Anolis sagrei: one gene and its partner. The protein of the gene in region 2 interacts with the protein of the main gene of each other region in a biochemical or structural test. Links are inferred from orthologs where the notes say so. Each region holds a gene or a part of one and is shown on either strand. Other genes may lie near its edges. The genes, in order: MPP1 and ABCC4.

Region 1 (16,140 bases), on a different chromosome or scaffold from region 2:
TAACCCAGTGACATCACAGAGGGCCACCTCGCCTAGCAACAGCTAACCCAGTGACATCACAGAGGGTCACCTCACCTAGCAACAGCTAACCCAGTGACATCACAGAGGGCCACCTCGCCTAGCAACAGCTAACCCAGGGACATCACAGAGGGTCACCTCACCTAGCAACAGCTAACCCAGTGACATCACAGAGGGTCACCTCACCTAGCAACAGCTAACCCAGTGACATCACAGAGGGTCACCTCGCCTAGCAACAGCTAACCCAGTGACATCACAGAGGGCCACCTCGCCTAGCAACAGCCATCCCAGTGACATCACAGGGGGCCACTTCACCTAGCAACAGCCTTCATGAGACAAGCAGACAGACAAACAAATGCATACTTTGACTTTTATATAGAGAGAAGATATATATAAACACACATCCATACTTATTCGCACATAGACATACATCACATATACACATATAAAGATAATGAAGTTTATTACAAATATATATATATATATATATATATATATATATATATATATACACACACACACACACATTCATGTGTGTGTGTGTACACACAAGTACACACCCATACATACATACATGGGGCAAAGAAAGTGGGACTAGTCCCTACTTTTCATGGCACCCCATATTTCCCACTCATCTCTGCCTAATACTAGAACCGGTTTCTTTCCGGTTTATGCTGTTGCGTTGAACCCTGGACTTCTGACCCAAGCCCTTCCCTGATTTCAGGACAGAACAGCCTCCTACAGTTCTGAGAAACAGACTTTGTTGTCCATGACTTTGCTATGTGGGCATTGCGTATCCTGAGCTGCTCCGGCCCAAGCTAGACCGAGCCCCAGCCCATCCGATGGAGAGTTCAGCCAGCCTGCTATTTTGGTGGCAGGCTTCAAATAACGTCCTTTGAGGAAGAGGGAAGCCGGTCTGTTTTGAAATGCGGCACCCAGAGAACTCCAGGGAGGCAGCTCAGCAAAACACATCTCCAGTGTCAAAGAGAGCTCCAGACCACCAAAGCAACTTGAGGTCATCAGGAACACCGTAATAATAGCTTTCGGTGTTATTTCTGGAAATGTCAGTGGCAGGTTTGAAATAAATAGGGATCATCAGAGAAGCCTGCTTCCCCCAAATGTGCCCAGACTGGGTTAGATTTCACTCTCTGTCAAAGTGGCACCATTTGATTTTTCTTTGGAATCAGATTTTCAGTATTGTGTGGTTTGGAGCTAAATGAATAAAGAACACTGTCTTCACTACCCTTCTAAGTGTATAAATAGTGGAGTATAAGAACCAGGAGATGCTTAAATACCTTAAAGGTACCAGATCTCTTTTGATCAATGAGCCCTGGTTAGAACTTCGGTTGAAGACCACCAACGAATACCTGGTGCTGTTGGATGTATTTCAAAGGAAGCAAAGGGAAAACTACCTTTGAGTATTCCTTGCCTAAGACATTCCTATGAAATGTATGTGGTTGCCACGAGTCAACAGGCAACTTGAAGCCACAAACATATAGAATCCAAGGATCTTAGTCCAAACATATTCCACAACCATGCTCCTTAATCTCACTGGATTCACCTGAAATTCATAAAGTTGTGTGTGTGCATTTTGCAGTATTAATTGTAAAAATATACAGAGCAATTAATTCCCACTGACTTTACAAAAGACCTGCCCTTGGTAGGAATGGAAAGCCTTTACTTTTACCTGTGTGTCTAATTGTTTCGAGACATTGAATGTTTGCTTAGTGTCTCTATATTTGCTGGAATGCACCCTGAGTCCCCTCAGGAAGATTGGGTGGAATACAAATAAAGTGTTGTTATTATTATGTTATTAAATGCCCAGAGTATAGATTAGCCCAGTTGCCTATATTCTGGATACTTCCTACGAGATGAGAGTTTAAATGTTATTAACTAATACTACACCAGTATAGATGCTATAATATTTTTAAAAAATTACTTTGGATGGGATAGCAATTAGTTGTCCATGACAGAAAGGATATTATTATTATTATTATTATTATTATTATTATTATTATTATTATTATTCCAGAGGTGTCTCATGAAATTATATTTCATTCTAATAACAGTATATACACTACACATGTAATAAATAATAATAATAATAATAATAATAATAATACTTTAATTTATATTCCACTCTATCTCCCCAAAGGGACTCAGGGCGGATTCCAAACATAAAAGGCAAACATTCAATGCCCGAATACAACAACAATACATCCATATTAACAAAATGTATACAACCCAACATATAAATATGAATTATAACTTAACTAAAATTAAATTTAAAAAAAACATAGCCTGTTTTAACAGACATAAGACAAAACACAAATACATACATATTGGTGTGTTGTTTTTTGTTTGCTTGTTTGTTTACAGTATTTTTATTCCTCCCTTCTTACCTCGAAGGGGACTCAGGGTGGATCACAGAACACATATACAACAAACATTCAATGCTGTTATACACAGACAGGACAGACAACAGTACAGATAGTGGTATATAGACATTTTTCATCTTTGGCATCCTAGAGGTTGTGCTCAGTTCCGGCCACAAGGGGGTGCTGTCACTCCATCCTCCATGTCGAAGAGCCTTGTTCACAGACTTCCTCCTTTTTTTATCGCTGGCATTTTCCTTATGGTGTCATTAAAATACCTCTCCACTTAAGCAGTACCTATTTATCTACTCACAGTTGTTTTCGATCTGCTAGGTGGGGAGTGAGCTGGGCTGAAGGTTAGGCGCTCACCCCTGACCTGGACTTTGAACTGCCAACCTTTTCATAGAATCATAGAGTTGGAAGAGACCTCGTGGGCCATCCAGTCCAACCCCCTGCCAAGAAGCAGGAAAATCGCATTCAAAGAACCCCTGACAGATGGCCATCCAGCCTCTGTTTAAAAGCTTCCAAAGAAGGAGCTTCCACCATACTCTTGGGAAGAGAGTTTCACTGCTGAATGGCTCTCACAGTCAGGAATCTCTTCCTAATGTTCAGATGGAATCTCATTTCTTGTAGTTTGAAGCCATTGTTCTGTGTCCTAGTCTTCAGGGCAGCAGAAAACAAGCTTGCTCCCTTCTCTCTATGACTTCTTTTCACATATGTATACATGGCTATCATATCTCCTTTCAGCCTTCTCTTCTTCAGGCTAAACATGCCCACCTCTTTAAGCCGCTCCTCATAGGGCTTGTTCTCTTTTAATTGGCAAGATTTATGGCAGCTGGTGGTTAACCTGCTGTGCCAAAGCCTGGCACTGTTGTTGTTGTTATTCCAAGTGGTCTCATGAAATTGTATTGTATTATAATGGCAATATATACACTATACATGCACATACATACATATTGGTGTTGTTGTTGTTGTTGTTCCCAGTGGTCTCATGAGATTCTATTCCATTCTGGGTCCTTAGTAACTATAAGTGAGGCATCAATTCAACAGATGCAACCCATTTTAACACTGCAACATAAATGCTGGGAAAATGTACACAGACAAGCTGGCAACCTTAACAGGATTTTATTGATTTAGGGGTCTGTGTCTCCTTTCTCTTTTTACTTTCCAGAATTCTCATAGATTGAAGAGGATCTTCCAGAAGTGATCAGCGTCTTTTGATTACCAGACCCAGGAATCTCTCCGTTGAGAAGCCCCACTTTGCGAAGAAAGTCTTGGGGAGCTTGGAAAAGTTACTTTTTAGGACTATAATTTCTTTAGCCAGCAAGGACACTGCTCGGCTGACTAGGGTTGTTTTGCTTCTCTAAATGCAATTTTTCAGAAGGAGGCATATTACCCTTTCTGTTATTGCAAAACAGTTGCAATAACAGAAGTTCTGTCACTGTCCGTCACTTTGCGACAAACAATGTTGTTTAAGATGGAGCAATTCTGGTGTGGACAAGAGTGAGTATCTGTGTTTCAAAGATAGAGATATTTGAACAGGCCAGTAAAATAAAAATGTTTACATTTACATTACTTGATGTAATCAATAAAATGTCTGCTGTTTTGACTCTCTGTCATTTGTTGAAATGCTTTAGAGCAACTCCAGATGGATTGAAATGTTCCAGATTTTGGGTTGCCGTGAGTTTTCCAGGCTGCATGGCGATGTTCCAGAAGCATTCTCTCCTGACGTTTCGCCCACATCTATGGAAAGCATCCTCAGAGGTTGAGGGATCTGTTGGAAACTAGGCAATAATAATAATAATAATAATAATAATACTTTATTTGTACCCCGCTACCATCTCCCCAAGGGACTCGGTGCGGTTTATATATCTGTGTAATGTCCAGGGTGGGAGAAAGAACTCTTGTGCATTTGAGAAAAGTGCAAATGTTGCAATTGGTCACCTTGATTAGAATTGAATAGCCTTGCAGCTTCAAAGTCTTGCTGGTTGCTGCCTAGGGGAATCCTTTGTTAGGAGGTGTTAGCTGGTCCTAGGGTCAGCTAACTCCTCCCAACAAAGGAGTTCCCCAGGCAGCAAAAACCAGGCTTTGAAGCTGCAAGGCCATTCAATTCTAATTAAGGTAGCCAATTGGAACATTCATACTTGCCTCCAACAGACAAGAGTTCTTTCTCCCACCCTAGACATTCCACTGATATATCAACCCCACTTGCCTAGTTTCCAACAGACCTCACAACCTCTGAGGATGCCTGCCACAGATGTGGGCAAAACGTCAGGAGAAAATACTACTGGAACATGGCCATACAGCCCAAAAAATGCTCAGCAACTCCAGCAATGAAAGCCTTCAAAAACACATTGTTCCAGTTTTTGTTCCTGTTCTTTCCAATTTTCTTCTGGGGTCCATTCACATTGAATAATTTCTATGAGCTGCTGGCACACTAGTAATTATCCATGCTATTTTAAGATATAACAAACCATTTTCACAGCCAAGACCGTTTAAAACCTATTAGAAGACAGAATACAAAAGATCTGTATTTCAAAGCTGATCACAGGGTGTATCTGCACTGCAGAATTAATACAGTTTGACACTATTTGAACTGCGACGTCTCAGGTGCTGTTTCCACTGCCATACAATGCAGATGAACAACACTGAACTGCATTACATAGTAGCATAGATTCATATAAGCCAACTTGATGCAATTAATCTGCATTCTGAAACTGTATTATATGGCAGTGTAGATAGGAGCCTCAATGTATTGGAATCCTGGGAATTTTGTTTATAGCACTGAGCCATGGCACTGAAAGTGGTCTCAAACTGCACTAATTCTATAGTGTAGATCAATGTTCCTCAATCTAGAAGTCAGGACCCCGTGGGGGGTGTTGTGAGAGGGGTGTCAGAGGGGTTGCCAAAGACCATCAGAAAACGCTGTTGGTCATGGGGTTTCTGTGTGGGAAGTTTGGCCCAATTCTATCATTGGTGGGGTTCAGAATGCTCTTTGATTGTACGTGAACTACAAATCCCAGAAACTACAACTCCAAAATGTCAAGGTCTATTTCCCCCAAGTTCTACCACTGTTCACATTTGGGCAAATTGAGTATTCATGCCAAATTTCATCCAGATCCATCATTGTTTGAGTCCACAGTACTTTCTGAATGTAAATGAACTACAACACCCAAAACCCAAGGTCAATTCCCACCAAACCCTTCCATTATTTTCTGTTGGTCATGGGAGTTCTGTGTGCCAAGTTTGGTTCAATTCCATCATTGATGGAGTACAGAATGCTCTCTGATTGTAGGTAAACTACAAATCCCAGCAACCACAACCAGGGGTGGCTCGTCCATTACGCGAAATAAGCGGTCGCAGAACACTTTTTTTGCCAGGGGCGCAGAGGTGCCTCTGTAAATGCCCCTTGACCGCCGCTTGAGGAGCAGCTCACAACAGCCCTAGAAGTCCGGGGGGAGCCTCGGCTTTCTTGCCTCACCGCTGGGCGATCCTCTTCCCAAAGGGGCCGGGCCCTTGAGCCTCGCCTAGCCCCTCTCCTTCCTGCTCCACCCAGCCACAGGGTGCGCGAGCAGAGCCGGCACTCAATCGTTTTCCGCGTTCGATCCCTTCCCCATGATTGGCTCCCTTTCACGATCCCCCGGCACTCCACCCGCCTCCTCTCCTCTCCCCAATCTGTGGGTGGGCCAAGGGGTGGAGCCGCTGCGCCTGGCCCGCTTCAGGTCCGGCCGGCATGTCTGAAGACCCCAGCGTGCGCACCAAAAGTCGCCTCTTCTCCTGACTTTCTCTTCAGCCATTGGGACCGAGAGAGAGAGAGAGAGAGAGCCCCTCCGGCTGGAGGTATCTCCCACCTCCGCTCCCTCCTTTGTTTTTGCACCTACCTACAGGAAAGGTGGGCATCTCCACCTCTCTCTCTCTCTCTCTCTCTCTCTTGGTCCCACTGGCTGAGGAGAAAGTCAGGAGAAGAGGTGACTTTTGGTGCACACGCTGGGGTCTTCAGGCACGCCTCCAGACCCAAAGCGGGCCAGGCAAGGGAGCAAGTGCAGCAAGTGCAGTTACTGGGATGTATAGTTCACCTACAATCAAAGAGCATTGTGAACTCCACCAATGATGGAATTGAACCAAATATGGCACACAGAACTCCCACAACGAACAGAAAATATATATCAGTGATTGATTTGAGGGGGGAGGGGGTGCCAAAATACTGTTTGCTTACCATTGAAAATTATCTAGGGCCGCCTCTGATGGCAGGAACACTTTTCCTCTGGGTGGGTCTTCATCTTTACTCTCGTGGCTTGTTCTCGGTTGTCTTGCAGCTCTTCTGATGTCTGAGGTGGAGTCTCCATTGGCCTGGAGAGCCCAGTTGAGGTGGTTCAGTTCATCTTGGAGGAGGTGGGGTTCGCAGATTCTTTTTGCACGGTCTGCCAAGGCTTTAATGGTGCTTCTTTTTTGACTTGGGTGATGGTTGGAGTTTTTATGTAGATATCTATCTGTGTGTGTGGGTTTTCTGTAAACGGTGTGACCCAACTGTTGATCTGGTTTGCCCCTTTTTTCCCAGTTTCCAGCAGACCTCACTACCTCTGAGGATGCTTGCCATATAGATGCAGGCGAAACGTCAGGAGAAATGCCTCTAGAACATGGCCATATAGCCCGAAAAAACCCACAAGAACTGAATAATAATAACTACAACCCCCAAATGAGAAAATCAATCCTCCACAACCCCACCAGTATTCAGATTTGGGCATATTTTGTGCCAAATTTGGTCCAGTGAATGTATATACAGGCACGCCTGGCGGGGATGAGGGATAGGGCCTTCTCGGTGGTGGCCCCCCGGCTGTGGAACGCCCTCCCTGTAGACATCAGACAGGCGCCCTCCCTTATGACATTCCGCAAAAGACTAAAGACATGGTTATTTGAGAGGGCGTTCGACTAAGTGCTACAATTGGCAATGATGACTGGAACGGAATATGGATAACGAGATTGGTTATGATTCTACGATGAGACGGCGCGGATGATTTAGTATAATCGTATTATTGATTGTTATGTTGATATTATTGTTGTGATATTCCCTTATTGTAAACTGTTTTTATATGTTGTACACCGCCGTGAGTCGCCCTAGGGCTGAGAACGGCGGTCAACAAATGCAGTAAATAAATAAATAAATAAATAAATATACATCCTGCAGATCAGATATTTACATGACGATTCATAACAGGAGCAAAATGACAATTGTGAAGTAGCAACGAAAATAATGTTGTGGTTGGGGGTCACCACAACAGGAGGAGCTGTATTCAGGATGCCAGAGGATAGAGTTCAGGCGGGGTCAACCTGCGTTCACTGCAGAGGGTGTAGATGCAGCCGTGGGCGGCAGGGGGCGCTGCCGCGTTGCGGGCAAAGGCAGCGGCGCGGCGGGGCTCGGCCGGGGTCTCCTCCTCCTCCTCCTCCTCCTTCTCCTCCTGCGTTGCCTTTGCGCCAAACGGAGGCACCGGGAGGGGCGCTTCCCGGGCTGCCTCCTCCCCGAGAGCCGCCTCCAACCCGCCTCCCTGCCTGCCTTCTTCCCCGGAGCCCAGCCCCGCCGCAGCCCTTTCCGCCTCGGGACGCCCCAGGGATCGGGGCCAGGAGAAGAAGAGAGCAGGGCTATCCCCATCCATCCCTCCATCCATCCATCCCTCCATTGATCCACCGGGCAGCATGACGCTCAAAGGCGGGCAGGCAGGCGACGGCGCGAGCCGCATGAGGACAGTCCTCTCGGACCTCTACCTGGAGCACCTGCTGCAGAACAGGCCCAAGGCCGAGGCGAGTTGGGATGGGGTGGTATGGAGAAGGGGGGGGGGGTCAAACTGGAGGGAGGAGGGGGTGCACGGTGTGTGTGTATATGTGTCCCCACTTTCGCCTTTTCCTGTTTGGGGCTTCCCATGGGGAAAAAAATGCAAATGCATGCTAATTTATGCTAATAATGCAAACATATGCAAATGCATGCTAATGCCCGTATATAAAAACACACCACTTTTGCATCTCCCTCTATACAAATAGGCCCAAATAATGCAAAATAATAGGTTCTTGTAGGTTTTTTTCAGGCTATAGGGCCATGTTCTAGAGGCATTTCTCCTAACACCTCTCAACAGAACATTTTCCCAGGCTCAGCCAAGCCTGCATGCTAATACCCGTATATAAAAACACACCACTTTTGCATCTCCCTCTATACAAATAGGCCCAAATAATGCAAAATAATAGGTTCTTATAGGTTTTTTTCAGGCTATAGGGCCATGTTCTAGAGGCATTTCTCCTAACACCTCTCAAGAGAACATTTTCCCAGGCTCAGCCAAGCCTGCATGCTAATACCCGTATATAAAAACACACCACTTTTGCATCTCCCTCTATACAAATAGGCCCAAATAATGCAAAATAATGGGTTCTTGTAGGTTTTTTTCAGGCTATAGGGCCATGTTCTAGAGGCATTTCTCCTAACACCTCTCAACAGAACATTTTCCCAGGCTCAGCCAAGCCTGCATGCTAATACCCGTATATAAAAACACACCACTTTTGCATCTCCCTCTATACAAATAGGCCCAAATAATGCAAAATAATAGGTTCTTGTAGGTTTTTTTCGGGCTATAGGGCCATGTTCTAGAGGCATTTCTCCTAACACCTCTCAACAGAACATTTTCCCAGGCTCAGCCAAGCCTGCATGCTAATACCCGTATATAAAAACACACCACTTTTGCATCTCCCTCTATACAAATAGGCCCAAATAATGCAAAATAATAGGTTCTTGTAGGTTTTTTTCGGGCTATAGGGCGATGTTCTAGAGGCATTTCTCCTAACACCTCTCAACAGAACATTTTCCCAGGCTCAGCCAAGCCTTCAAATGCTAATGAAGGTGATCAGCTGAAACATTCACACCTAGCTTCAGCAGAGAGCTCTTTGCCCCACCCCAGTCATTCCACAGATATATAAACCCATTTTCCTATTTCCAACAGAACTCACTGCCTCTGAGGATGTTTGCCATAGATGCAGGCGAAACGTCAGGAGAGAATGCCTCTAGAACATGGCCCTATAGCCCGAAAAAACCTACAAGAACCTAGTGATTCCAGCCATGAAAGCCTTCGACAATACAATGCAAAATAATCATTTATACTAATACTAATATATGCACATACTATATGTGCCCATATATACGTAATATGCCACTTTATGCAATTGTCCATCTCTAGATAAATAGCCCCCCCCCCCCCCCAGTGGCGCAGTGGGTTAAAGCACTGAGCTGCTGAGCTTGTTGATCGAAAGGTCACAGGTTCGATTCCGGGGAGTGGCGTGAGCTTCCGCTGTCAGCCCTAGCTTCTGCCAACCTAGCAGTTCGAAAACATGCAAATGTGAGTAGATCAGTAGGTACCGCTCCGGCGGGAAGGTAACGGCGCTCCATGCAGTCATGCCGGCCACATGACCTTGGAGGTGTCTATGGACAACGCTGGCTCTTCGGCTTAGAAATGGAGATGAGCACCACACCCCAGAGTCAGACATGACGGGACTTAGTGTCAGAGGACTACCTTTACTTTTACCTTAGATAAATAGGCCTATTTACGTAAAAATGTCTTATTTATGCAAATGTGCTAATTCATGCAAATAATGCTAATATATGCAAATCACTCTCTCTCTCTCTCTCTCTATATATATATATATATATGCCCATTTATGGAAACTTGCCACTTTCTGCAATTGTGTCCATCTATACAAATAGATCCATGAGGTCAGAAAGAATCGGAGACGACTGAACGAATGAACAACATACAAATAAGCCCACTTATGCAAAATACCCATTTATGCAAATGTATTTATGCAAATAATAGTAATATACAGGAGCCCCCCGGTGGCGCAGTGGGTTAAACCCCTGTGCCAGCAGGACTGAAGACCGACAGGTCGCAGGTTCGAATCCGGGGAGAGGTGGATGAGCTCCCTCTATCAGCTCCAGCTCCTCATGCGGGGACATGAGAAAAGCCTCCCACAAGGATGGTAACACATCAAAACATCCGGGCGTCCCCTGGGAAATGGCCAATTCTCTCACACCAGAAGCAACTTTCAGTTTCTCAAGTCGCAACTTGAGAAACTGCAAGAAGCAACTTGCAGTTTCTCAATATGCAAATGCATGCTAATATATGCAAAAAATACTATATGTGCCCATATATATGAAAACATGCCACATTATGCAATTTTGTCCATCTATATACATAGGCCGGTTTATGTAAACTACCAATTTATGCAATATATGTCTTATTTCTGCAAATATTCCTAATATATGCAAATACTTAATATATACAAGTACATGCTATATATGCCCACATATATATATAAACATGCCACTTTATGCAATTATGTCCTTCGATACAAATATGCCCATTTTTGCAAATATGCCCACTTATGCGAAATCCTTATTCATACAAATATGTCTTATTTATGCAAGTATTACGAATATATGCAAATACTAATACATACAAGTGCATGCTATATATGCCCATATATATATATATACTTATACAAATACCACTTTATGCAATTATGTCCATCTATACAAATATGCCCATTTTTGCAAATATGCCCCCTTATGCGAAATCCTTATTTATGCAAATATGCTTTATTTATGCAAATGTACTCATACATGCCAATCATGCTGCATGCCTTTAGCTCTTTCTCACAGAACCTGGTTGAGGGAGGCAGGGAAATAGGGAATCTCATCTGAATGAATGAATGAATGAAAGAATGGAGTGTCATCCTGGGAGTTGTAGTTTGACCAAGTCTGTCTCCTTCTCTGCCTCGGCCCACTACAACTCTCAGGATTGTGTAGTACCGAGACATAGATGTGGGTTGTCAAACGGTGTCCGTGCTACATGCGAGATGCACTCTTCTCAATGTGATGCTTTGGGTTACAAGCATGCTCACTTGCTCTCCATTTTTAGGAGGACTGAATGCATCTACAGAAGGCTCAGGCAAAATTAGGTCCTCCGGGTGTTTTGGACTCCAACTCCCACCATTCCTAACAGCCTCAGGCCCCTTCCTTTCCCCCCTCAGCCGCTTAAGCGGCTGAGGGGGGAAAGGAAAGGGCCTGAGGCTGTTAGGAATGGTGGGAGTTGGAGTCCAAAACACCCGGAGGACCTAATTTTGCCCATGCCTGATCTACACTTACTACTTGAATGCTTGGGAGCCAGGATAGTTATAGTTTGAGACCCTGTAGTGGATCCTAGGCATGAAAGAGATGTGTTCCAACAACCGTAATGTGTCTGCTTGGATTGTTATCCTTGGAGGGAGCTTTTGGTGCTTTGCTGCTGCGGAAGGAGCCGGCTCTTGTTTGTGCCGCAAAGCTGGTTCGAACTGGAAGTGGCTGTCGCTTGGGCTGCGGAGCCGAACCAATGGGAGCACGAGAAGCCTCCTTGCGCAAGGCAGGCCACATTCATCTCTGTCGGTATCGAGTGCAGATTTTCACCCTCGTTTCGGTTGAACCTGGGACATAACTCTCCCCAGGCAGCCGCTTTTCCCTGAAGCCACCGTCTCTGCAAAACATCACATTATCTAAAAATCACAGCAGTGTGCGCGGGAGAGATACAATTCTAACTTCATTAGGATCCCAGTGAAAAGTGGGACAAAGTTACTTTTCAAAAGCAGGGCAACACAATAGAAATAATGCTACATTATTGGTGCAATGGATAACATTTAGTTCCCAACCTTCCTAATGCCGCGACCCCTTAAGACAGTTCCTCGTGTTGTGGTGACCCCCAAATATAAAATTATTTTTGTTGCTACTTCGTAACTGTAATTTTGCTCCTGTTATGAATTGCAATGTAAATATCTGATATGCAGAATGGATTTTCATTCACTGGGCCAAATTTGACACAAATACCCGATATGCCCAAATTTGAATACTGGTGGGGTTGGGGTAAGATTGATTTTCTTATTTGGGAGTTGTAGTTGCTGGGATTCAGCTACAATCGAAGAGCATTCTGAACCCCACCAACGATGGAATTGAGCCAAACTTCTCACACAGAACTCATTTGGGAGTTGTAGTTGCTGGAATTTATAGTTCAGCTACAATCAAAGAGCATTGTGAACACCACCAACGATTGAATTGAACCAAACTTGGCACACAGAACTCTCATAAGCAACAGAAAATACTGGAAGGGTTTGGTGGGCACTGACATTGAGTTTTGGAGTTGTAGTTCACCTACCTCCAGAGAGCACTGTGGACTCAAATAGTGATTGATCTGGACCAAACTTGGCACGAATACTCAATATGCCCAAATGTGAACACTGGTGGAGTTTGGGGAAAATAGACCTTGCCATTTGGGAGTTGTAATTGTTGGGATTTATAGTTCACCCACAATGAAATAGCATTCTGAACCCCACTGATAGAATTGGACCAAACTTTCCACATAGAACCCCCATGATCAACAGAAAATACTATGTTTTCTGATGGTCTTTGGTGACCCCTCTGACATCCCCTTGCAACCCCCACAGGGGTCCCGACCCCCAGGTTGAGAAACACTATTTTACAGTGACCCTTTGGGGTGATGGTTCTCAACCTTCCTAATGCCGTGATCCCTTAAGACAGTTCCTCATGTTGTGGTGACCCCCCAAATATAAAATTATTTTTGTTGCTACTTCATAACTGTAATTTTGCTACTGTTATGAATTGCAATGTAAATATCTGATCTGTAGGATGTATTTTCATTCACTGGACCAAATTTGACACAAATACCTGATACGCCCAAATTTGAATACTAGGCTCTGGTCTAGCATACCTGTTCGAACGTATCTCCTTCTATGTCCCACCTCGGAGCTTAAGATCTTCTGGGGAGGCCCTGCTCTCGGCCCCGCTTTTGTCTCAAACACGTTTGGCGGGGACGAGGGACAGGGCCTTCTCGGTGGTGGCCCCCCACCTGTGGAATTCGCTTCCCGGGGAAATTAGGTCATCGTCATCCCTCCTCACCTTTAGAAAGAAGGCAAAAATGTGGTTGTGGGGCCAGGCCTTTGGGCAATTAAGTTTAAGGACAATTGATAATGCTTGACTATGGCTTGGAAGTGGATTTGGATAAGTGAAGCGGAGTAATAATAATTAGTATATGGCTAAATAAATAGCCACCAGACTGGCAATAGCTACATGGATCCTAAGTATACTGTTTAATCTCTATTTCTTAATGTTCATGTTTTTAGTTGTTATATTTGTTATTTTGTATTTTATGATGCGGCATTGAATTATTGCCAATTGGAAGCCGCCCTGAGTCCCCCTAGGGGTTGAGAAGGGCGGGGTTAAAATGTTTGAAATAGATAGACAAATAAATAAAATAGTGGGGTTGAGGGAGATTGATTTTCTCATTTGGGAGTTGTAATTGCTGGGGTTTGTACTTCTGCTGAAATTGTCCATATGCTTGTGGACTTCAATGGCTTCTCTGTGTAGACACAGCATATTATTTGAGAACACAGAAATGCTGGACCACTCTCACAACCACCATGTCAGACTACACAGAGAAGCCATTGAAATCCACAAGCATGAAGACAATTGCAACAGAAAAGAGGAAACCATGAAAATGAACAAAATCTGGCTACCAGTATTAAGAAACTCCAAAATTACAACAGCACAACAACAGAGAGTAAACAATCAGGCACATCTATTCACCTCTCAACAAAAGATTTCCCCAGGCACTGCCAAGCCATCAAATGCTAATTAAGGTGGTCAGTTGAAACATTCACACCTAGCTCCAGCAGACAAGAGTCCTTTGTCCCACCCTGATCATTCCACAGATATATAAACCCATTTCCCTACTTCCAACAGACCTCACAACCTCTGAGGATGCTTGCCATAGATGCAGACGAAATGTCAGGAGAAAATGCCTCTAGAACATGGTCATATAACCCAGAAAAACCTACAACAACACAGTATATATAATATTATAATACAAATTAAAACAGCATAAAACACAACAAGGCAATAAAAACAACATCATTAGCATCTCCTATATTATCAAGCATTGCCCATTTCTATCGTCAAGTCATCAGGTTTCCTATATCAATTACCTATATCCGTTACTCTGCATTTGTAAACGCTTGCTCAAATAGCCATGTTTTCACTTGCTTCCGAAACCTTAAGAGGGAGGGAGCAGATCTGATCTCCCTAGGGAGGGCGTTCCATAGCCAAGGGGCTGCCACTGAGAAGGCCCTGTCTCTCGTCCCCACCAGAAGTACTTGTGACGAAGGCGGGACTGAGAGCAGGGCCTCCCCGGACGATCTCAAGGTCCTTGATGGTTCGTAAGGGGAGATGCATTCAGACAGGTAAGTTGGGCCAGAACCGTTTAGGGCAGTGGTTCTCAGCCTGGGGTCCCCAGATGATTTTGGCCTTCAATTCTCAGAAATCCTAACAGCTGGTAAACTGGCTAGGATTTCTGGGAGTTGTAGGCCAAAAACATCTGGGGACCCCAGGTTGAGGACAACTGGTTTAGGGCTTTATAGGCCAAAGCCAGCGCTTTGAATTGGGCTCAGTAGCAAACTGGCAGCCAGTGGAGCTGGCACAACAAGGGGGTTGTATGCTCCCTGAGAGCCGCTCCTGATAGCAACCTGGCTGCCATTCATTGGACTAGTTGAAGCTTCCGAACCATCTTCAAAGACAACCCCATGTAGAGCGTGTTGCAGTAGTCTATACGGGATGTAACCAGAGCGTGTACTACCATGGCCAAGTCAGACTTCCCAAGGTACGGGCGCAGCTGGCGCACAAACTTTAATTGTGCAAATGCTCCCCTGGTCACCACCAAAACCTGAGGTTTCGAGCTCAGCAGTGAGTCCAGGATCACACCCAAGCTGCGAACCTGCGTCTTCAAGGGGAGTGTAACCCCATCGAACACAGGATGCATATTGAACTCAGTTTGCAGCCGTTGGATTAAGCTAAGGAGGGAAGTGTGGGGAAGAGAAAAAAATGTGCGGACAATGGGATACCTGCATATGAACCAAATGGGGAAGGTTGATGGCACGGTGTTGTATTGCACAGCTTGTTTGCTTGAAACCAAAAATTGAACTTTGACTTAATGATGCATGAATACACACTTGAGTGCTTAAAAAAAATCTCCACGTCTTCTTGTCACTAGCTTTTGCTCTAAACAAGTTTAAGAATGGACACATGTGCATTGATAAGAGCTATCTTATCCTCTGAAGATATGGCCTTTTCTTTCTTTTATGTACATAGCCGAGTAACTCAAGGACAATGGGATTATCACTAGACGGTCTCAAGTATCACTGTGGGACAAGGCTTGTCTGATAGCTCATGTCTTACACTACTTTAGGGCAGGAAAACTGACATTAGAAGCTCCACAAAATATACAAGCCACAACAGAACGATTTCAATGGATCGGGAATGTACCCAGTTTTAGAAAACTGGCTATTTCAGGCTCTCAGTTTCCCCCCAAATTGTTGTAAAACATGGTGCGCTTTTCTATTTCTCCAAAACTGAAAGATCAGGTGGTTTCTCTCCCTTTCGTTCCAGTCTCTTGTTGGAGAAACAAGTAAAGTCTGACTAAGTGTGACCTTTGGGCCAGAAGGATGGTTTTTAACAGAGCTAATGACTTGGAAATGAACGGCCTTGTTAATGTTTGAGCCTATTAATGCACTGCTTTGCATTTTACTGCAGTTGGGGAAATGTCTCTTTCTTTTTGCGTAATAGCAGAACTGATTACTTCCTTTCAAAACCGTATGTAAAATCTTCTGCTATTTGGCA
Region 2 (16,140 bases):
ATCATTGACCAAACCCAAACATTTCTGATGACTCAAGGATGACAAGTATCTTCTGTCTTCTACTGCTTTATCAAAAAGCCCTGTTTGGGAACAACTGTAACAACAGTTATTAGACATGGTACCTAAACAGAACTCCCATGCTTAGATATCTCTTCTAACTTTTGATACTTATGGCTGCCCCCTTCATGCACTTATTGTAAGCTTCCAGGGAATACAAATGTGGTTGAAAACATGTTTGGCACAGATGAATTTTGGTCTGGCCCAGAAAAAAAAAACTATTCAACTACTCCTATTTCTTCAACAGCTGAAGTATAGCACAGGGACTGAGATCTAAAGATGAAGAAGTCATTTGGGAAGGCTTTACTTAGTCTTATTTCCACTAAACTAACAACAACTTGGGAAGTGCCCAACGTAAGATCAAATACAAAAGCCAACACAGTGATCTTGTTTGCTGTGTACTGATCTTGTTATGTACAACAACAACAACCATAATAGGTTATATTTATATGTCATGTTTCCTCTAACAAGTTAAGGACACGAAATGTGGCTCTTTCTATTCTACTTTGTCATCACAAGAATCCCATAAGGTAGGTTAGGCTGATGGTGACTAGTGGGTTTCAAGGCTCAGAAGAGACTTTACGCCAGATCTAAGTCCCAGGCTAACACTAACATATAATGCTGCATTGGCTCTCAACCATCTTGTTAATCACTACATAAAACACGCTCAAAAGTGCTATACACAATAAGTTCCCGTATTGTTACTCTAACACACACAGTAACCTCTGTCCTTTCAACCCCAAGGTTACTCCACACCACAACTATTCTGCAAATCAAAACCTTAAATAAATTATGGAAAGGAATACACAGACCAGGGAACTCCCTCCCTTGAGTGAATCTGGAATTTTGCTTTGGTTTCAGGATAAATGAAACGAATGGCCCAAGTCACCCTTCTGCCTTGGAAGATTGCCCAGAGAGCCACATGGCTATTCTTTTAACATTAAGTGTCTGGAGGCACTGTGCCAGTCAAAGTCCACTGTGCAATCCTTTCCAAACAGAGAATTCAGTAGTCTTGGGGCTTAGAAAAGACTTTAGAAGATGAATTAACTATTTAAGCAATGTATTGTCAAAGGTATTATTGAAGCTTTCATGGCAGGAATCACTGGGTTGTTGTAGGTTTTTTCGGGCTATATGGCCATGTTCTAGAGACATTCTCTCCTGACATTTTGCATGCATCTATGGCAAGCATCCTCAGAGGTAGTGAGGTCTTTCATGGCCGGAATTACTAAGTTGTTGTGAGTTTTCCAGGGTGTATAGCTGTGTTCCAGAAGCATTCTGTCCTGATGTTTTGCCTGAATCTATAACAGGCATCCTCAGAGGTTGTGAGGTATTTAAGCAATGTGTGCTTTATGCAACACTGCAAGCAAAAGAAAGAAGTATTTCGATCTGATTGCATCATTTGTGAAACTAGACTGATGAGAAAACTCTAAGTGAATCATAATGGATTTTCAGCCTTTACTTTCCTTCTTTCATCAGCCTTTAATGAAGAGGCCAAAGGTTAGTATATTAGCCGTGCATTCCTATACATGTTTCCTTAAACCTAAGCCCTAATATGTTCCCTGAAACATGCAGGTTGCCCTTATATCCTCCTTGTGCAATGCCCATAACCGGTTGATCACTATGTGTCAGAAAGATGGACTACCACTTCATCACACTAGAGAATGAATCCACTTTAAACCCCATTTCTCACTCTTGCAGAATTCTGGGGTTTGTCGTTTAGGGAGAAGCCTTGAACAGCCTTACTAAATGACAAACCCCAGAATTCTGCAGGAGCCAGAAACCAGATTTAAAGTGGATTATTTCTCTAGTGTGATGAATCAGGGCTCCTTGAACTTTTATTTATTTATTTATTTATTTATTTATTATTTACTTCATTTGTATACCGCCATTCTCAGCCCTAAGGCGACTCATAGTGGTTTACAACAAGCAAAAACAAGGTGAACAATCAAGGCAAAAATTCAATGCGGCATCCACTTGCAACCTGAGAATTTTCTACATGAACCTGGATATATAAAATAATAAAAATTAAACATTTACTGATAACAAACCAACATTTGCAAGCATTGCTAAACAGGATGACTTTCCTCTTTCTGGAGTACTGCTGAAGCATCTTCTGCAGAATCCATTGTAAATACAGCTCAACAAATTCATGTAAATATCTAAAACCACGAGGTGACAGTCAGAAAACTTTCACTATGGCCAAATTTTTCAGGACTCCAATATTGACTTTAGGGGACCCATCTGGAGCCAGGATCCATGGTTTAAGAAGCAATTGACCAAATAAGCCTTTAATGCTGGACCACACCAACAACCACCATGTCAGATTACACAGAGAAGCCTTTGAAATCCACAAGCATGTGGACAATTTCAACAGAAAGGAAGAGACCATGAAAATGAACAAAATCTGGCTACCAGTATTAAAAAACTCTAAAATTACAACAGCAAAACAACAGAGAGGAAACAACCAGGCACATCTTAACACCTCCCAGCAAGAGATTTTCCCAGGCCCAGGCAGGCCTTCAAATGCTAATGAAGGTGATCAGTTGAAACATTCACACCTAGCTCCAGCAGGGAAGAGCTCCTTGCCCCACCCCAGCCATTCCACAGATATATAAACCCATTGTCCTAATTCCAACAGACCTCACTACCTCTGAGGATGCTTGCCATAGATGCAGGCGAAACGTCAGGAGAAATGCCTCTAGAACATGGCTCTTTAGCCCGAAAAAAACCCACAAGAACCTAGTGATTCCAGCCATGAAAGCCTTCGACAATACATTAAGCCTTTAATGTTTCTATGCTTTTGTATGTTTGTATTCCAGACAACATATAATTCACAACATTAAGCTGTTTACTTCCTGGACAGATTGTCCAGGTCCACTTTTGAACACACAGGTTTACACTGCAGAATGGTTCCATTACTGTATTTTATTAATCAATACCCATTTCAGGATTGCTGCAAGCCATTTGCAGAATTGTGTATCTTACTGGAATATATATTTAAAGTAAACAAGCACAAGGGTACACATTATCAGATACAACAGAAGCAAAAAAAAATGGACTGTGCTAGAAAACATACAAGTCATAGATAAGGAACAAAAGGGAGACAGATGCATTTCCAGGAGTGATCTGACAAGGATCTAGTAATCAGCCTCCAGCACTCACTTAGTGGAAGAGACCTGCCATGACTTATGACCTAAGATGCACTTCTAGCCATTAATACATCACTGGCACCTTGTACATTAAACACTGCTGCATAATCTTCCCTATATGAGCAGCTGGCCAGCCAGACCTTGGAAATGTTACCAATTTTGGACGACATCTTCCAAAACTTCTGACTAAGGAATTTGGGGAAATGAATCCAAAGAAGTAGCTTTTCCAAGCTCTGTTGCCAGGAGCTGCAAAGGAAAGTAAAGGTTTTCCATTCCATTCCCCTTTTAGCCAGAGCTAGTGCGGTTGCTCTATTCTGATATTAAAATGCCTAAAAGAGGGTCAGCATGCCTTCCAGTTCCACAGCATCTTTCCTACACGACAACTATATAAGGGCCAAATCAGATCAAGTGAATGATCTTCAGTATACTGAGCTGAGACAGTATATTCTGCATAGAAAATGATGTTTCCTACACAGAAAGTGGACAAAGCATATTATCTGAGGACACAGAAATGCAGGACCACTCTAACAACTACCATGTCAGACTACACAGAGAAGCCACTGAAATCCAGAAGCATGGGGACAATTTCAACAGAAAGGAAGAAATCATGAAAATGAACAATATCTGGCTGCCAGTATTTTAAAAACCCTCTAAAATCAGGACAGTAAATAAAGAACAACTCTCAAAAACAGGGATTTGCAGATAGGAAACAATCAGGGCCAGCTAACACTTCCCAACAAAGGATTCCCCAAGCAGCAGCTAGCCAGGATTTGAAGCTGCAAGACCATTAAATTCTAATCAAGGTAGCCAATTGCAACATTCATACTTGCCTTCAACAGACAAGAGTTCTTTCTCCCGCCCTGGACATTGCACAAATATATAAATCTCACTTGCCTAATTTCCAATATACTTCACAACCTCTGAGGATGCCTGCCATAGATGTGGGTGAAACATCAGGAGAGACTGCTTCTGGAACATGGCCATACAGCCCAGAAAACTTACAGCAACCCAAACTACATATGAACTAGTCCTGAACTTCAAATAAATCTCCACCTGTAGAACCTCTCAGTGTAAAACTATAGTCTTATTATGGGAAGAAAACTGCAAAAATTATTTGTTGATCCTTCTAATAATAAAATTAGCAAAGAATTAGATCCTTCAAGGCTACTTATCTCATAGGACTACTATGACGTGTGGAAGTGCTCCAGACTCCCCAAAATACTACATAGCATGTTATTTACTAGGAGTGTTTCTAAAGTGTCTTCTAAAGGTGTTTTTTCATTCTATTTGTACACAAATGCATTTCAAAATAGAAATCTGGTCAGCAGCAGACGTCTGTACACTGTAAAGTCACAGAACCTCTTAAGTGAATGCAGAAACTGCAAAACTACTCAATTCTATTTCCCCAAAATGTAAGTTTACTTACAAAGAGGTGAGTCCCATGCTGAATTCCAGCCTCCCTAATAAACTACTTTACAATTTTTCCCACAAGAAGCATGCCCAACTTACTTCCAAAAATTATATGTTATAGTATTTATAACCTGCAATTACCTGTAACGTGTTCCCTCCCAAATCAGGAGATTATACCCAGGAGTTACACAACATTTTCAAGTGTTCAAAGTACTGTACAGATATTACCTTATTATCTAGTTTGTAAGGCAGCCCAATGTTATGGCCCAAAAATACGGAAGGGCACAGAATGAATGCGGTTTGACACCACTTTAGCTGCCCTCGCTCAATGCTATGGAATCTTGGGATTCGTAGTTTGGGAAAGCACCAACCCACTTTGGGAGAATGGAATAAAAACGTTGTAAAATTACAACTCCCATATTTCACAGCATTGAGCCATGTCAGTTAATGCGTTGTCTCCAGGCTTTAGAACAGTGGTTAAACCGAGAGTTGCAGAAAATCTTGCCGATCAAAAGGTAGACAGTTCAAACTCAGGCTGGGGTGAGCTCCCATTATCAGCCCAGCTTCTGCTCACCTAGAAGTTTGAAAACAATAATGTGAGTAGATAAATAGCTACCCATTTGGCAGGGAGGTAATAAAAGGCGGACATGCTGGCAATTTGATCAGGATAATGTCTAAAGACAACAAAGCTACTTGCCATGGAAGATGGAACGACAGCACCCCTCCATCACTGGAGTCAAGAACAGTCTCCAGATGCTGGAGATGGAAAAAGTTGGGAAGCCTTTACCTCTGTTTATGTCCTGTCTGTATTTGTTAATTGTATAATGGCATTGAATGTTTCCCATATATGTGTACTGTAATCTGCCCTGAGTCCCCTCAGGGAGATAGGCGGAATATAAATAAAAATATATTATATATTCCTCAGAATAGATGCTCTCTTCATGCCCATCTACTCTGATCCCAAGGAAAAAGGCAGAACTAAATCCATTTTGGGGACAACTTCAGGTTCCCACTTCAACTCAAGGCTGACTCTCCAGCAAGCAAAGAGCCAGGTGGGTGGCAGCAAGTTCAGCCTGTTCTTCATGTCAACAGATTATGCATTCATTCACGGATTCAGCCACCCATTGATTGAAAATAGTCAAGATAATCCAAAAAGCAAACCTTGCCTTTACTGTCAGGGATACTATTTTACCACGCTATTGCACAGAATGGGACTGAAGCATCCAGGGGTTTTAGTATCCAAAGGAGGCTTTGAGCCAAAGCTTAGTGGATACCAAGGGCCCATTGTATTCATATAGATTAGTAGTTTACTTTAGGAAGCAAACAGAGAGCGAAAGGGAGAAACATGTCAAGAGGAAGGCACATCAAGCCAACCCTTGTTGGGACCGTCTTCCATCTGGAAACAAATGTCCTGACTGCAAATGAGCATGCAAATCAAGAATAGGTCTCTATAGCCACCTACAGACTCACTGCCAAGACCCTACACTTGGAAAGCAATCATGCTCGGCCACAAGGGATCTCCTATGACATGAGTAATTTAGAGGAGTAGTGACTACTGAAGTGCATACAGAATTGATGCCACTGCAAAAATAAGACTCACTGCCATCAGATGGAGAAACCAAACATTGCTTGAAAACATTTTAAGTGAGCAAGGATAGAAGAATTATCTTAGAAGGGAAAAAAGTCAATGTATACACAATAACTCATAACAATATTGCACTCTGATATCCGACTACAGCAGCAGTGTGTTACATCGACACTTTTCTCTTATACGTAACTGAATTTGAGGCCCAGTATGAAGAAGAATGCAGAGAATCAAACCAGACTGGTCTTTATCTCTCTACCGATAATAAGTCTAGAAAGGAATGCGCTTACACATTGCATGATCTCAATGTGAGGTTTTGATCCTAGAAACTAGAGGCTTTTTTTAAAAAAAAACCTATAAACCATTGTGCTGTAAGTTTAACTAGCGAGCATGAACCCTTGTCCAGGAAGTTTGTGGATCATAAACTAGGAAACCTGACTTAATTCCAGCAATGAATTTGCCTCTTTCTTCGTTGAATCACCTGGATACTACCAGTTTTCTTCTAGACAGTTAATCGTACCGGCTTGTTCCTCCAAAACAAGATGCAGTCCATTCAAAGCTGCAATTCTGTGCCCACTTTGTTGTTCTTCCAATTTATCGTGACTCTACGGAGAAACTATCTATTCTGTACTTTTCTTGGTGAGGGAGGAGGGTATTAGAATTATAGAATTGGAAGAGACCTCGTGTGCCATCCAGTCCAACCCCCTGCCAAGAAGCGGGAAAATCACATTCAGAGCACTCCCGACAGATTGCCATCCAGCCTCTGTTTAAAAGCCTCCAAAAAAGGAGCCTCTGCCAAAAAAAGTTCCACTGCCTTCCTCGGAGGCTAATAGAGTGCAGCTTATGCAAAGTGACCCAGTGGGTTTCCATGGCGGAATGAGATCCCTAAGTCTTGATTCAAATGTCAAACCTCAACATCACACTCACTCTCCCTACACTCACCTGCCTGACTATAAATCCCAATTAAATCAGAATTTGGCCATAAAATATTAAGAAATCTCTTAATTTCTGCTGAGGAAAGCAGAAATGGGGCGTTCTGAGTGCAACAGGCCAACCCAGTCAATCTTCACTATGAATGTTAAAATCACATTCTATGTTTATTGTGTTTTGACCTTTGTTTCATGTATATCAATAAGTGTATATATGCTTTAATTGTTGCATTTCAACTATCTTTTAATATGTGCTTTCACAAGGTGTATTTACTATGCTGTGCCCCTCCTTGAGCCAAAAGGACTGACGAATAATAAATAAAGGTAAAGGTTTCCCCTTGACATTAAACCTAGTCGTGTCCGACTCTGCGGGGTGGTGCTCATCTCCATTTCTAAGCCAAAGAGCCATCAGGGAGTGCTCATCTCATTTCTAAGCCAAAGAGCCAGCGTTGTCCATAGACACCTCCAAGGTCATGTGGCCAGCATAACTACATGGAGTACCATTACCTTCCCACAGAAGCGGTACTTATTGATCTACTGACATTTGCATCTACTGACTGCTAGATTGGCTGGAGCTGGGGCCAACAGCTGGAGCTTACCCCGCTTCCTGGATTCAAACTGCCGATCTTTCAGTGGGGCTAACAGCAGGAGCTCACCCCGCTCCCTGGATTCAAACCGCTGACCTTTTGGTCATCAAGTTCAGCAACTCAGCAGTTTAACCAGCTGTGCCACTGGGGGCTCCTGAATAATAAACATTATTATTATTGTATTGTCGAAGGCTTTCATGGCCGGGATCACTGGGTTGTTGTAGGTTTTTTCGGGCTATATGGCCATGGTCTAGAGGCAGATAGATATCTACATAAAAAGATAGATATCTACATAAAAACCCCAACCATCACCCAAGTCAAAAAAGAAGCACCATTAAAGCCTTGGAAGACCATGCAAAAAGAATCTGCGAACCCCACCTCCTCCAAGATGAACTGAACCACCTCAACTGGGCTCTCCAGGCCAATGGATACTCCACCTCAGACATCAGAAGAGCTGCAAGACCAAGAACAAGCCACGAGAGTAAAGACAAAGATCCACCCAGAGGAAAAATGTTCTTGCCATACATCAAGGGAACCACTGACCGCATAGGGAAGCTGATGAGGAAACTCAACATACAAACTATCTACAGACCCACCAAGAAAATCCAACAAATGCTACGTTCAGCAAAGGACAAGAGGGATCCTCTAGTTTCAGCAGGAGTCTACCGTATACCATGCAGCTGTGGACAAGTCTACACAGGGACCACCAAATGCAGCGCCCAAACACGAATCAACAGACAAGAATCCTTTGTCCCACCCTGGTCATTCCACAGATATATAAACCCTTTTTCCTAGTTCCAACAGACCTCACTACCTCTGAGGATGCTTGCCATAGATGCAGGCGAAATGTAAGGAGAGAATGCCTCTAGACCATGGCCATATAGCCTGAAAAAACCTACAACAACCCTATTATTATTATTATTATTATTATTATTATTATTATTATGAATAATTATGGATTTTCACTCAAATAAAATAACTTACGCCTGATGACTTTACTAAATTTAAGTTGTATAACATTTTAATTCAACGGTACAGTGTCACAGCTTTCTATACACACTTTGGGTGCATCTACACTGCGGAAGTGATGCAGTTTGAGGTTACTTTAACTGCCAAGCTCAATGCTTTGGAATCCTAAAATTGGGCACATGGGAGAAGCCCCCCACAGGATGGTAAAAGATCTGGGCGTCCCCTGGGCAACATCCTTGCAGATGGCCAATTCTCTCACACCAGAAGTAACTTGCAGTTTCTCAATTATTTATGTTTTTAAATGTTTTATGGTGTTTTTGGTCATTGAATCATTGCCATTGTAAACCACCCTTAGTCACCTGAGGGCAGAGAAGGGTGGTATACAAATATAGTAAATAATAAATAAATAAATAAGTTGCTCCTGACACACACAAAAATTCCTAAGATTGGCAGTTTGGCAGAGAAGCTAAAGACTTTGCAAAACGACAACTCCCATGACCTCATGGAAGTTGAAATGGTGTCAAAACGCATTCATTCTACAGAGAAGATGCACTTTTTGTCCCATTTACCAACTTTAAAGCCTCCCCCTGAAATAAAATATTGTATCTTCAACTTTAAAAAAAATGTTTATAGTGCCTCACTCCTGAGGTCTGGCGGAAGCCTAGAGAATCCTGACAGATTTAGGAGTCTCCACACTCCTCTTTGATCTTGGAAGAAAGCACCGAAGTTCCAATGAGAATTTATGAATCATTTCCCGTAGACCTGGCGCTAGGCAGGCCCTGCTTGGGAAGCCAAGCCCAGAAAGCCCATTTCCTCCAAGAAAGCATTGCCCTGAAGACAAAGGAACCAACAGATAAAGAGAGAAAGTGAATTACAACTTGCCCTGAGGTCAGGGACAGACTTGGCACAAGGTGCATCTAATCTACACTAGAATGGGTGCAGATCGAGACCATTTTATCTGCCAAGGCTATGGAGACATGGGAGATGTAGTTTGGAGAGGCACCAGCACCTTGTGGAACTACAACTCCCAGGGATGCCATAGCATAAAGTGGTGTCAACGTGCAGTGTAGATCAGGCATGGGCAAACTTGGGCTCTCCAGGTGTTTTGGACTTCAACTCCCATGATTCCTAACAGCCTACCGGCTGTTAGGAATCATGGGAGTTGAAGTCCAAAACACCTGGAGAGCCCAAGTTTGCCCATGGCTGGTGTAGATGCTCAACTTTTCCCTGATCCCAACTTTTTCAGCCCTGGGGCTCATCTCCATTGCTAAGCCAAAGAGCCGGCGTTGTCCGTAGACGCCTCCAAGGTCATGTGGCCGGCATGACTGCCTGGCGCGCGGTTTTATATAATCTATATCCAATATAAGCTCAGATATAGATATCCACTTCGCCTTTAGGCTCAATATTGCAACAGGGAAGGAATCCTCCCAAGTCAGGACCCTCCAGGCTCACCAGAAGAAGATCCGAGAGCATAAGCCGGCCTGGCGGAGCGGGTTTTCCTTCTGCCCGCGGGAATAGGGCGCCTCCATGAGCCCAGGAGGAAGAGGGCTCTCCCCGCCAAGGACACGCTGCGATCGGGGTGGTGTGAGCCGGGAGAAAGGAAGCGGAGCCTCGCCGGGAAGCAAGGGCTGCCACTGGCTGCAGGGAGGAGCCAGGCAAGCAGGCAGGGAGGGAGGGAGGGCGCTTCCGGGAAAGCTGACACCGGCAGGGACAGCCGTCGCCGCTAGGGGGAGCCCCGGAGACAGGCAGGTAGAGATAAAAGAAGCACGCTGCCTGCATCTCTACACTGAAGAGTGGATACACTGTGTCTCCACTATAATGCCTTCTGCTCAATGCCATTGAATCATTGGGGATGAGAAGGTTAAAGGTCTTGTCAGACTGCAACCTTCCACAGCATCATAATAATAACAGTTGTTGGAGCATGTAAAGAAATCAGTTAGTGTGTGTGTCAACTGTAAAATAAGATGTACAAGCTGATTGGGGAAACTAGCTGAGTCTGGGACTTTTGGTTACTGTTACATTTTTCAGGCATGAGCTATACAGGCGCTTGGAGAGAAGCACAAAGTGACAGATTGGAGTGTGCTTTTGCTTCATGAGCTGCTAGAAGGTGTTTCTCCACATGGGCAAAGAAAGACCATTATAAGTAAAGGTAAAATATAGTGGGTTGTTGTACGTTTTTTTTGGGCTATATGGCCATGTTCTAGAGGCATTTTCTCCTGACGTTGCGCCTGCATCTATGGCAAGCATCCTCAGAGGTAGTGAGGTCCATTGGAACTAATAAAGTGGATTTATATATCTGTGGAATGACCAGGGTGGGGCAAAGAACTCTTGTCTGTTGGAGCTAGGTGTGAATGTTTCAACTGACCACCTTGATTAGTAGTGCCTGGGGCAATCTTTTGTTGAGAGGTAATTAGATGTGCCTGATTGTTTCCCCTCTGTTGTTTTGCTGTTGTAATGTTAGAGTTTTTTTTTAAATATTGGTAGCCAGATTTTGTTCATTTTCATGGTTTCCTCCTTTCTGTTGAAATTGTCCACATGCTTGTGGATTTCAATGGCTTATCTATGTAGTCTGACATGGTGGTTGTGAGAGTGGTCCAGCATTTCTGTGTTCTCAAATAATATGCTGTGCCCCGATTGGTTCATCAGGTGCTCTGCTATGGCTGACTTCTCTGATTGAAGTAGTTTGCAGTGCCTTTCATGTTCCTTGATTTGTGTTTGGGCAATGCTGCGTTTGGTGGTCCCTATGTAGACTTGTCCACAGCTGCATGGTACAGGTAGACTCCTGCAGAGGTGAGAGGATCCCTCTTGTCCTTTGCTGAACGTAGCATTTGTTGGATTTTCTTGGTGGGTCTGAAGATAGTTTGTATGTTGTGTTTCCTTATAAAGTATAGTGCTATATCAGAGAGCCCCCAGTGGCGCAGTGGGTCAATGCAGTGGGTTTAGCTGAGCTGCTAAACCTGTTGACCAAAAGGTTGCAGGTTCAAATTCAGGGTGCGGTGTGAGCTCCCGCTTTCACTCCCAGCCTCTGCCAACCTAGCAGTTCGAAAACATGCAAATTTGAGTAGATCAATAGGTACCACTCCAGCAGGAAGGTAACGGCACTCCATGCAGTCATGCTGGCCACATGACCTTGGAGGTATCTACGGACAACGCCAGCTCTTCGGCTTAGAAATGGAGATGAGCACCACACCCCAGAGTCAGACCCGACTGGACTTAATGCCAGGGGAAAACTTTTACCTACCTTTACTATAGTGGTATAGTGCAATATAGTAATGTATAATACTAGTATTGTGTTGTGCTGATAATATAATATATTGTATACACAGTAGGCTGTTAGGAATTGTGTGAATTGAAGTCTGAAACACCTGAAGAGCCGAAGTTTGCCCATGCCTGGTTTAGCTGCATCCTTCAATTAAAAATTAAGGATGCATCAACGCTAGAATTACTGCAGTTTGACACTATTTGAACTGTCCTGTCTCAATGCTCTGGGATCCTGGAAGTTGTAGTTTGAGGAGGCATCAGCACTCATAGAGAACTTTAAAGGTCTTGCAAAACTACATCTCCCAAGGTGTCATAGCACTGAGCCAGGCAGTGCTATGACTCCATTTGGCTTAGTGGTTTAGTGGTGAAGTGACTGCTGGAGAACATATGAAATTGATGCAACCACAGTTGTCACAGTAAAGAAGAGTGTCTGCCTTTAGACAACAATTGCAGGCTGTTCAAGCAAAACTGCGTTTGATGAAAGAGTTTGCAGCTGCTTCCTTCCCCCAAAAAAGTCATCAGGAAACCAGAGGAGATGGTTGCAGAGCTTGAAAAAGTGAACCTTACGACGGAGAGCAAAACACGATGAGAGTAATGAAAACAAAACTAACAGGTTTTCATGTCCTTGGATGGGGGCCTCAGAGAAATGTCAAGTTTTTTGTACACAAACTAAGCCTCCGGCATGAGATTGCGAAGGAAGAAAGGACACAAGTAAACCACAAGGACACAGAGGGGCCAGGAATAGTTATGAATGCCAAAATGTTTGTTCTAGATGGGCCCTGGATATCTAAACAGCACTACTGGAAGATATACAAAAAATTAGACTTTTGCCCAAGACCCCAGATAGTTTTTCACCAAAGAAATATAACTTCCTGAAAAGGTTTGCTTCAATATTTCTACAGCTCGGGAATCAAAATTGTGGTAATGCAACACTCATGGGAGAACTGGAAACTTGGGACAAGAGCTACAAGTCTTTAGATATCAATACAAAGGGGAAACATGGAAGAAATGTCCAAATTGCAAATTAAGATATAACCAGACACAGCACATTTTGTGTGATATTTACCTGCATTCTTGTACCAACATGATCCATACCCCATATTTGTTATCATCATATCATAATTGTGATGTGGGGAATAAGTGGCACAACAGGTTTCCCCTTGCAAATATTTGTCAGTATGTAATAGAGCCACCCTTCCACATTCGTAGGGGATAGAGGTACGGGACCACTGGGAAAGTAAAGAAGCTCAAATTACTATTTTTTAACCTGAGCAAATCTCTCTAGGAGTTTCCAGATCTTCCAAAATTAATCTAGAACCAATATCCACTGTAAACCAACCACAGGATTGTATTGAAGGACCTTGAAATTCACAGAGATAATATTTTTAATCAAATCCATGAATAACACTATTTAACAAAACTCTGTGCCTGGTTTGAAAGTGTTATTTCCTGTTTAGTTGTGCAGTATTTACTTTGCAATTAGCTGTTATACTCCAGAATCTTCGTTTTCATGAATGCCACAAACTAAGTTGAATTGATTGAGACTCTATAATATTAATATACTTTATTTATATTCTGCCCTATCTTCTTGAGGGAACTCAGGGCAGATTACAGTACACATATACGGCAAACATTCAATGCCGTTATACAATTAACCAAGGCAGAAAGTACATAAAGAGAGGTAAAGGCTTCCCATCTTTTTCCATCTGGAAGCAGTGCTTGACTCCGGCCATGGAGTCATGCTGTTGCTCCATCTTCCATGCCGAGGAGCTTTGTTGTCCCCAGACGCTCTCCTGATTGAATTGCCGACATGTCCACATGGTGCCTTTTATTACCTCCCAGCCAAAGCGATACATATTTATCTACTAACATTGCTGTTTTCAAAATACTAGGTGAGCAGAAGCTGGACTGACAGGAGCTCACCCCAACCCAGGCTTGAACTGTCAACCTTTCGATCTGCAAGATTTTCTGCAACTGGCAATTTAACCCACTGTGCTAAAGCCCAGCCCTGTGAGATATTCATTGAAAAACAATAGCAAAATATGCTGCAGGATGTCTCACAAAACCAACGTTTTTGCAGTTTAATAAACTTTTCCCATGTTTTTAATCACAGAACCAATTAAGAAATGATATTTATAACCCAAGAACCTTTTTTTGTCGTGTCAGGAGCAACCTGAGAAACTGCAAGTCGCTTCGGGTGTGAGAGAATTGGCCGTCTGCAAGGACATTGGCCAGGGGACGCCCGGATGATTTGATGTTTTTATCATCCTTGGGGAGGCTTCTCTCATGTCCCCGCATGAGGAGCTAAGAACTAAAATCGTGTTACATAGAGTAATCTAATCCACAAAAGTCGAAAGTGCAAATGTGGACGAACGGCTACAATAAGGTTTCTCTCATATGTTAGTAAGATCTGATATTCCAATATGGCTTTAGCAGTTGATGGTAGTTTCTCTTTGGGCCTTTGTAAAAAATGAGACAGCAAGCTTTAAATTATGAAAAGACTTCTTTTGTGACAGCCTTTCTGTTATTAAATTGTATTTAATGTTTCCTTGAGGGATGGCCACTCTTCCTTGAAAGATCCTCCCAAATGTGCATGCAATGCCTTTAATGATTGCTGTTGATATATCTTTGGCAAATGAGACAAAACAATGAAAGCTGCATTCTCATTGCAACCACAATTGTTTGAAAATCTCTAAAAAGGAGCAGGCAGTCTATTAACACTTCCTGCCTGGACGACTGACTTCCCCAAATTGTTCCTCTCCAAGGACAACAACACAGGACCTATTGATAATATTGTCCATGGCAGAACTTTGGGTGCATTTACACTGTAGAATCAATGCACTTTGACACCACTTTAATTACCACAGCTCAGTGCTGTGAAATAATGGAAGTTGTAGTTTGGTAAGCCATCAGGACTCTTTGGCACAGAAGGCAAAAGACCATGTAAGGCTACAATTGCCACAGCATTGAGCCATGGCAGGTCAAGAGGGGTCAAACTGCATTAATTCTATAATGCAGAATTGTAGCAGACCCTTTTGCCCAATTGGGCCCTCAGCCAAAGCTTGGCTTGCAACCGGTGAGCGAGCACAGGCAGGAATCAAGAGGACGCACAACATAATTCATCCAAGAAAAGCAGTTTACTGAATTCCAAGCAGCTGCAAGGGGTCTCTTCCAAACGCAACGAGGCGTCTCTAAGGAAGCGACCCCCTCTAGTGGGCTGAAAATGATATCGAGCTCTTTTTGGGGGGCTTTCCCAGCGAGGGAGGCCCCAGAAGACCGCAAAGGGGGTCTTTGACCTTGGTGAGCTGCCAGCAAAAGCCAATCCAAAGCGCAAAATATTAAGAATTAATCCCACCAGAGGCTGAAGAGGTATCCAGTGACCGAAGCGTTTATTTCTGCGATTCAGCTGAAAAGGATGCGTTACAGGGATATTTCCACCATAAGCATACTGGGGTACAGTGATGCAGGCATATTTATACAATTTTTGAAAACCCAGAGTTCAACCCTTCTGCCCCGGCCCCTCAGGTGTTCCCCGCTGTGATTGGGTGATGGGCGGACACCTGGGAAGCAGCCCTCCCGCCCCTGGCGCCTCTGTACCAATCAGGAAACTCCAATGGTCTGTAGGATCCAATGGGGAGACCTCTGTCACATGGTGGCGACAGCCAATCAGGAGGAATGGGGGCGGGATGAGGGAGCACAAAGGAATCTGGGAAAGGAATCTGCAGACAAAGGAATGCCATGTGCTCAGCGAAACAAAGGAAAAATGTCTCCAGATGTTTGACAAACAAAGGCTTTCCTGTCCTTGATGAGTCTGGCAGGGAATTTGAATAGGCTAGATCAATATCGGACCACCCGGAGGGTCAACAATATCTGGGTGAATTAATCAGTCTCTTTTTCCGAAGCTCTGCTGACCCTTGTTCCTTCGCTGGCCATGCTCCGAGGGCTAGGGTTGGGGCCAGCAGCATTGTCCATGCAAAATGAGTCAATCAATGGGTGATTTGGGGGAAAGAGGCTTGGGCTCTGTCCCCAGGCAGTTCCTGGTCACGCTGGTTTTCTTGTGGGGTGAGGGTCAAGGGGGTGAGGATACAGAGGAGTTCATAGGGGCTACATATTTCATATTCATAAACCATAGGCATCACCAGTATACAGGCATTCCATATATCACCACCCACCACCCATCCCAACCCCAATCC

Evidence for each region.
Region 1: the proteins of ABCC4 (region 2) and MPP1 form a complex in vitro, tested with the Homo sapiens proteins (2 studies listed by BioGRID and IntAct, with this or other methods). The link is inferred for Anolis sagrei from reciprocal best matches to the Homo sapiens genes ABCC4 and MPP1.

The regions. Positions count from the first base shown.
Region 1 is NC_090030.1:15,262,613-15,278,752, reverse strand, and holds the start of MPP1 (55 kDa erythrocyte membrane protein), read left to right. Parts: upstream 1-7,847; 5' UTR 7,848-8,084; coding exon 8,085-8,189; coding exon of another isoform or gene 8,190-8,193; intron 8,194-16,140. UniProt on the Homo sapiens protein: Essential regulator of neutrophil polarity. Regulates neutrophil polarization by regulating AKT1 phosphorylation through a mechanism that is independent of PIK3CG activity.
Region 2 is NC_090023.1:126,644,190-126,660,329, forward strand, and holds the start of ABCC4 (ATP-binding cassette sub-family C member 4), read right to left. Parts: upstream 10,326-16,140; 5' UTR 10,216-10,325; coding exon 10,139-10,215; intron 1-10,138. UniProt on the Homo sapiens protein: ATP-dependent transporter of the ATP-binding cassette (ABC) family that actively extrudes physiological compounds and xenobiotics from cells.